Linked DNA regions of Xenopus tropicalis. The protein of the gene in region 1 purifies or fractionates together with the protein of each later gene. This does not show direct contact. Links are inferred from orthologs where the notes say so. Each region holds a gene or a part of one and is shown on either strand. Other genes may lie near its edges.

What was found. The genes of interacting proteins can lie anywhere in the genome.
Region 2: the proteins of ubr2 (region 1) and ube2b purify together in Homo sapiens (affinity purification with western blotting; 3 studies listed by BioGRID, with this or other methods). This does not show direct contact. The link is inferred for Xenopus tropicalis from reciprocal best matches to the Homo sapiens genes UBR2 and UBE2B.

Annotation. Positions count from the first base shown.
Region 1 is NC_030681.2:15,179,965-15,184,288, forward strand, and holds the start of ubr2 (E3 ubiquitin-protein ligase UBR2), read left to right. Parts: upstream 1-1,418; 5' UTR 1,419-1,487; coding exon 1,488-1,568; intron 1,569-4,324. UniProt on the Homo sapiens protein: E3 ubiquitin-protein ligase which is a component of the N-end rule pathway.
Region 2 is NC_030679.2:26,523,447-26,527,665, forward strand, and holds the start of ube2b (ubiquitin-conjugating enzyme E2 B), read right to left. Parts: upstream 2,821-4,219; 5' UTR 2,718-2,820; coding exon 2,674-2,717; intron 1-2,673. UniProt on the Homo sapiens protein: E2 ubiquitin-conjugating enzyme that accepts ubiquitin from the ubiquitin-activating enzyme E1 and transfers it to a E3 ubiquitin-protein ligase. In vitro catalyzes 'Lys-11'-, as well as 'Lys-48'- and 'Lys-63'-linked polyubiquitination.

The sequences.
Region 1 (4,324 bases):
TCGCGTTTTCGGGCGTATATCGGCTACATGTGCCTGCACCCGAGCGTATCCCATTCATTCGGGTGCAGGCACAAGTAGCAGGCGTAGGGCTGAATTTTCGGCAAGCGTTTTTTCCGCTTGCCGAAAAAATCAGCCCTACGCCTGGTGTGGCATCAGCCTAAGAACATACAAGATAAGGCAGATGTAATCCTTCCATTAGACCCTTTAGTTATACTACTCATCCAGGTGGAAGAACTGCCACTCAATAGAGCGCACCAAACTCTAATTCTTACCTTATGCATGTTTGCTAAAAATACAATAGCACTAAACTGGAAAGCAGCCAGGGGCCAGGGGATCAGATATAGGAGCACGGGAAAGGACACACGGGAGATAAGTCACGCCGTGACAAATCTCCAGTTCGGCGCCGCGTATGCCATCCCACCGGCGATTTACATTCTAGCCGGTGGGATGGCATTGCGGGGAGATTAGTCACCAGCGACAATGGAGGTTTGTCGTGGCGTGACTAATGTCCCATGTGTCACAGTCCTAATCATCCCCAGCCTTAGTGGCCCAGATCTGATCCCCCCCCAGGGCGCTCCCGCAATCCGCCGTCTCCCTTTAGGGCTCTGGCACACGGGGAGATTAGTCGCCCGCGACAAATCTCCCTTGTCACGGGCGACTAATCTCCCCGAACTACCATCCCACCGGCGAACATGTAAGTCGCCGGTGGGATGGTACACGCTTCGCAGGCGATTTCGGCAAATCGCCAAAGTTGCCTCGCGAGGCATTTTCAGCGATTTGCCGAAATCGCGCTGCCGTGTGTGCCATCCCACCAGCGACTTACATGTTCGCCGGTGGGATGGCAACACAGGGAGATTAGTCGCCCGTGAACAGGGAAATTTGTCACGGGCAACTAATCTCCCCGTGTGCCAGAGCCCTTAGAAGCGCTCGGGTGTTGGGGGCCTCGGCAGGGGGGGTGAAGGCGGCGGGGACCATTGGGATGTAGTGGCCCCTGAGGCAGAAGCCCCTGCACCCCCCAGTCCGACCCTGTTAATAAAAGATTTAAAAGAAAAAAAATATATATATATATATCAATCAGCAATTTAAGTTATATTACTGATTTCAACAGCTTGCAATCACCAGCAGGGTTGGTTTTAATGTCAGGCAGACAATAACACCCTTATGGTAAAAACCTTTTCACACTTGCAACTCTCCACCTACTGCGTAACTACAACTCTCACAACTCACAACACGATTTTGGGCATTTTTGGACTAATTTACCTAAATCACTAATTCCGCACATGGATCCCACCCCCCCACACTTGGAATAGATTGTAGACTAAACTGCGATACTCTATTTATGCATTTGAACGGTTTGTTGAGGGATTGCAGAACTTGAGGCAGAAACTATTTTCTGCTCAGTCAGAACGTTTTTCGCCTGTCACAGTTACTTCAGAATGTCGCTGTGACGCGCTTCCGCTTCCGGTACAGTCTCCAGCTTGGAGAAGATGGCGGCTCCAGAGCAAGAAGCTGAAGTGCCAGGAATAGACAGCGAGTTGTTGGCCTGCTGTGCCGGGGAGGTGGCCTTGGTACGTGGCCGAGAAAGGCCAGGGGTCCGTCGGTACTTGGGAATAGTTTCCCCGGTACCGCTGTGTGTTTGCAGCTGGTGTAGAACCAGACTGTACCTGTCCAGGGGAACTAGAAGCTGCCAGCTAGGGGTACAGCTGTTCTCCCTGTCATATGTGTCTGTAACGGTGTAAGCACACACATACCTCCTTAGCAGTTTGTCGCCTACTAGCACTTGTACTACAATTCCCAGCATGCACCACAGACTGGTTTCTCGCTGGACGAGGTATAATATTAACATCAACAGTTAGAAAGCGGTAGATTGCACTTATCTCATTAACACAGATGCACAGCTGACTGAGTCTGTGTACGTTTCTTTATATGCACCACTACAATTCCACAATTCACTTAATATGCTATAAATAAACCACCACAGTAATTGTTTTATATAGTTTATTATATAATATATATATATCTGCAGTATAGGCCAGCACTCACAGGACTTCTAGGATTATGACTTCAGACGAATAAAGATGTTTTTACAAGAGATCTTGAAGCATGGTTCCATAATAATAAAGAACCATGCTTCAAGATCTCTTGTAAAAACATCTTTATTCGTCTGAAGTCCTAATCCTAGAAGTCCTGTGAGTGCTGGCCTATACTGCAGTTTTTATGTATTTTTTGCATTAGCACCCAGGCATTTAACTCCTGGTTTGTGGCGTGCTACCATCTACATGGACTATATATATATATATATATATATATATAGTTATATAGTGTAGGTATTCCAGCTATTAAATATAAGCATATCTCCGCGCATATTGCTAATATTGTATTCTAGTCTGCAATAAAGACAGACATTTTAAATACTGTAATATGTGTAGATTGTAATGTATTTTATTTATAAATTGGGTTCTTCTAGGGGAAATATATTTGCAGTTTAAAAATAAAAAAATTAAAAAAAAAATGGCTTGGGATACTGTCATATAGGGGTATATTTATCACGCTGTGTAAAAAGTGGAGTGAAACATTACCGGTGATGTTGCTCATAGCAGCCAATCAGATGCGTTGCTTTGGTTTTCCAACTGTTGAAAACTAATTGCTGATTGGTTGCCCTGGGCAACATCACCGGTAATACTTCTCTCCACTTTTTGCACAGCATGATAAAAATAATAAAGAATGCCCATGGCAAACGAAGGTCCCCCCCCAAAAAAAAATCTGAGCCAGGGCATTCTGCATGGAGTGGTTCATGTGTCAATGAATTTGTATTATTGTGAGAGGCAGCTGTCATAATGCTCTGTAGAGTACAGTATAAAAGTTCTAATAAATTATAGGATTCTTGACTGGAATTTTGGTAGAATGTTTTTGCAACAAATTTTTTCTTACAGTACTTACCGGGAATACTAGTCTTACAGTACTAGTATTCCCATTAGAATAATGCACCCTAAAAAATGCCTTTTGCCCAGTACGGTATCTTGGCATGGTTGGTTTAAATTTAGTTGACGTTTAGTTATGTATATTGATGGTGGTAGTGGCATACGTGTTGATAGGCGTAGATGCTTTGCAGTAGTGTTTTTAGAGCCAGAGCTAATGGTCTTCCTGGTTTCACGACCTTGATGAACTCAAAGGCCTTATGTCATTGGTGTACCCTAGCTACTGTATCTATTTACTGTAAAAATAAATAACCTTTACTTTGTGATAAAGATATGTATGAGAAGAGGCAGGGCTGTGGATTTGAAAGTATAGAATAAATTATACATTTTTCAATGTATGCTCTTTTGATTATGTATAGGTAATTGTCAGTAGCAATTTAGTAATACAGTGATATTAGTTAAACCCTTGTCTACCCCCAGTCTCACTCAGCAGGGTCTTCTTGAATTCTATATTGCTGCAACCGTAGTGCAGGTTAAGCAACCTTTACATTTTAAAACCCAGACTCAGTAATTCCAGTGTTGTTCCCCTTATAGGGGAAGCTAGCGTGATAATTAAAATTTAGTTACGTCCCATGGAAATAAGAGACTTTAAATACGATCAGTATTCTATATTGTTTATGAAGCCGTGGAGGTGGGGTATGTCTTGGGCGCCATTTGCTTTAGGCTCAGCTTTCTGCTCAACAGGGCATAGAAATAAAGGGACAGATAGACGCTGCTTTTCAGTATACTTGTAAAACCACAGAATAACTTATTTCATTGATGCTGGAAAAGTGCTTAAAATGGCAATTTCTTTAATTAGGCAAAATGTTATTGTAGGATTTACATTTCCTTAGAAGTCCATGCACAATATTATTAACTAATGTTCAGTATAGAAATAATTAACTAAATAATAAACTGCACCTTTTATGGGCTCGGGCACAAGGGGAGAAATGCTCCCTGAAATGCCATCCCACCGGCGAAAGAGGAAACTTCCATGATTTCGGGGAAATCGCTGCACCGCGTAGTCTCCCCGTCTGCCAGAGCCCTAAGGGGACACATTCCTGCCTCGTGTTCTGCATGTTTAACCTCAGTGCTTACTTCATTCAGATTCTTATTGTATGTACTGTATTGTACAACTGCATTTTATCTTTAATGCTAATGATACAACCCATTATCTGATTTTTCCTAGTTTGGTCACCCAGATGGTCCTAATTTAGCTCATCTGATTGGTCCCTGAATCAGAGGCAGTGTCTGTGTAGAACTGTCAGATAGGACCATATTGACAGCCTTGTTTATCTTCAGTGTTACATGCTCTCTATTCAATAAGGCTAATGCCAGACAAGGCATAGGGCGGATATTTTCGGCAA
Region 2 (4,219 bases), on another chromosome or scaffold:
TATATACACACACACACACACAGGTATAGGACCTGTTATCCAGAATGCTCGGGACCAAGGGTATTCCGGATAAGGGGTCTTTCCGTAATTTGGATCTCCATACCTTAAGTCTGCTAAAAAATCAATAAAACATTAATTAAACCCAATAGGATTGTTTTGCATCTAATAAGGATTGATTATATCTTAGTGGGGATAAATTACAAGGTACTGTTTTATTATTACAGAGAAAAAGGAAATTAGTTTTAAAATTCTGAATTATTTGATTAAAATGGAGTCTATGGGAGACGGGCTTTCCGTAATTTGGAGCTTTCTGGATAACGGGTTTCCGGATAAGGGGTCCGATACCTGTCTTGGCAAAAAAATGATAAGTTAATTTAAGCAAAGAAATCCTTTCTTTGCTTAAATAAACTTATCATTTTTTTTGCCAAGTCCTGGTGTGTGCAGCTCACTGTCTTGCTTTATATATATATATATATATATATATATATATATATAGCGCCTAACTTCTAGCGCCATTTCTTCTATCTGCTTCAGTAGTAAAGTTGTGGCTCTAGGTAAGAATCGGAATTCCAGGTTTGTTTTGCATTTATTGTATTACATTTGAGCAGATTTGCTGGATGAGGGGGCAAACACATGTTATATGGAAGAAGTCAACTGGGTGGGTGTCACATCTGGGACAGTTCTCACCAGGGCATTTTTAATCACCAAAACCTATAGTAGGAGGAATACAAATAGAAAAAAAAAACCCTTCCGCTTAAACAAAATTGAAGGGAAGCCAAAACAGAAGCCGAGTTCTGAAATGACATAAGACTTTAAGAGCTTCACTGTGTGGCTGCTACAAAACCGGTATGGATGCTGTCTGTATATTTTATTAATAAGGTGCTACTTGTGTATGCATCACTAACAGGAGAACAATACACTAATAGGAGTTAATCCAAAAATAAAAACGAATAAATACAAAGCACAAAGTGATACTCAAGATTAAGTGCTGAGCGTTAAGGACCCAAGTGGAATGAGGTTCCCTGACATTCTTGCTTTATGATGCAATAAACTGACCTAAAAAAAACAATGTTAACAATACAAAGATGTTTGCCCAGCTAAAGATTATATTTATCTGTGCAATAATGTACGTTACAATAAATGGATGGACTGGATACTTTTTGCTTTTGTATTTCTAGCAGACATCAATATGTCATCAAATCACCAAAACCAATAAAACAAGTGATTGTGAAGTGTAGTCAATGTTCAGAATACCTTATCTACTAATCACATTGCACAACTGCCAAAAACAAAGCTGTGGACAACAATGCAGGACTAAAAATCCAATTAAGTAATTAAAAACATAAAAAAACATAATGCAAAAAATAAATAACTGATCAGTGGGGCCCATTTATAAACACCAGGCAATTCTGTACATGTGCAGTAACCAACAGCAACTAATCAACATTTTCTCTCTTTTTTTTTTTCAACCTGGTGAATAAAAACAAATCACTGGCTGGTTGCTATAGGTTTCTGCCCAGGTGCAAATTTGCCCAGGTGCAAATTTGCCCAGTATTGAACAGCACTCTGTACATTAAGTAGTTCTATATAAATATACATACAGTGTTGATCAATAATCCAATGTAAATGTATTGGTCAAAAAAGCTGATTCAGTATTCACAATGCAGACCAAATAGATTTTTATGTGCGGCCAAGCATGCAAGATAAAGCAAAATTGGAATTCTGGGAAAATGTGTTTATGTGTAAAGCCTTTTAAAGAGCTGGAAGGCAACTGCAGGACTGTACCAGCAGCAGAAATGGGGCAGATAAGGCTAAAGCTAATGATGACCAGCATTTCACTAACTGCCAGAAAACCTTTCAACCACATTGCTGGCAGTTCATATCTTTGGCTGAGGGTGTAAAAGGTGGCCAAACAGTACCTTGTACTTGAGCCTAAGGTATAATTAATCCTTATTGGAGGCAAAATAATGCTATTGGGTTTATTTAATGGTTAAATGATTTTCTAGTAGACTTAGGATATGGAGATCTAAACTACGGAAAGATCCCTTATTCTGAAAACTCCAGCTCCTGAGCTTTGCGATTAACAGGTCCCATCCCTGTATGTATTTTTGGATGTGGGTGAGGATATATCTTACAAAACAATACAGATAAGCACATGGCAGCATGGGGATAGAGGGGCCGGCTGCACTAGCACACACTGCCCACTATAACAGCCATAAAAAATACAAAAATAAACTTTACAGATAAAAAATAAAACCTAGCAAAAGTGAAATATAATTGTGGGGTCTACTATAACTCATTGGCCAACTGCTCTATGCTGCAAAGAGATCTTCCATACTGTTCTCTATAGATATTTAAGGAGATGAACTGGCCTAGTGCTTATAGCCAGCAAGAAGTGGGGTTTTGTGATTTTCAGTGTCCCTAACATCTTCCCTTTACGGGTACTGATCCACTGAACGCCCAGGAGGCCTCAGGTAACCCCCCATATGCTGCAAAACTACAACTTCCAGCATGCCAAGCGGGCAGAAGGCGAGAGGTGTAGTCCCACAAGAGCAGAAGCGCCGAAGGTTGCCTGCCCCTGCCTTATACACTAGTCGTGTGACTTGGTGGCGGAGTCGAACGGAACTCGCAGTGAAGCCGATGAGGGAAGGAGCCTGTAACAGCCCTACTCACCTCTTGAAGTCCCTCATCAGCCTCCTCCTGGCCGGGGTGGACATTGCCCCTGAATAGAAGCAGTACGGAGGGGGAAGGGAGGGAGCCCAAACCCGGCCGCCGCTAACTCAGCAACCCTGGCACAAACAAGCCGCAATGACGTTGCTCAGTGCTCCCAACATGGGGCTGGACCAGAACGTTTCATAGGACCGTACCAACTACACCGGAGAGGGAGATTCCGTGCTAAGCTGCCATTTTTGCAAAATGTTGCCCCGAGATTCACTGCGGAGTTTAATAGGAACATTTGTTTTTTATTGTGACGCGGCATGCCGTTTTCTTGGACGTGGGGCAGTGTGATTTATTGCTGACGATCACCCCTGTCATCCGTACGAATGGTCGCTTCCATAAGTGACAACTCAAAGTTCCTGAGGAGAAGCGTTGCATCATATCACGTGGTGTTTGAGCTCGGCTTTCCTGGGAGGGTAGCTTCGGTGAAAGTTGATGGTTCTGTAGAGTATTCTTTATAGCGAATAAAGTCTCTTACTGGAGATGCTACAAGTATGGTTCAGCACCACCAGTAGGCACACTGTTTAAACATTCCTGTTTTATATAGTCTGCAACTGAAAACTGCTTGGAAATTGTATTGCAGAAATATAGTCAGAGAAAGATATGGCACATGTGCCTGGGTTGTATGAATAACATGCACCATAATAAGTCACATTTATTATCAGTTTAATAAATATTTGTCTTCTGAAATGATTGTGGTAATACCCCAGGCTGTTAAAACTGGAAAGTGACCATAATGTAAATTTCAGAGATAGTAGTTCTTTTTAAAGAATGGGTTCTGCCAAACCATCTGCATATTTGAACACTTGGTAATCTCATCAGTTGCAATAGGTGATTATTGCAGAAATAGCAACTGATCACAATTTGCAGGGACTGTCTTAGATCTTGATATACAGAGGAGGAAATAATTATTTGACCCCTCACTGATTTTGTAAGTTTGTCCAATGACAAAGAAATGAAAAGTCTCAGAAGAGTATCATTTCAATGGTAGGTTTATTTTAACAGTGGCAGATAGCACATCAAAAGGAAAATCGAAAAAATAACTTTAAATAAAAGATAGCAACTGATTTGCATTTGAATTTTCATTGAGTGAAATAAGTTTTTGAACCCCTACCAACCATTAAGAGTTCTGGCTCCCACAGAGTGGTTAGACACTTCTACTCAATTAGTCAACCTCATTAAGGACACCTGTCTTAACTAGTCACTTGTATAAAAGACACCTGTCCACAGAATCAATCAATCAAGCAGACTCCAAACTCTCCAACATGGGAAAGACCAAAGAGCTGTCCAAGGATGTCAGAGACAAAATTGTAGACCTGCACAAGGCTGGAATGGGCTACAAAACCATTAGCAAGAAGCTGGGAGAGAAGGTGACAACTGTTGGTGCGATTGTTCGAAAATGGAAGGAGCACAAAATGACCATAAATCGACCTCACTCTGGGGCTCCATGCAAGATCTCGCCTCGTGGGGTGTCAATGATTCTGAGAAAGGTGAAAAAGCA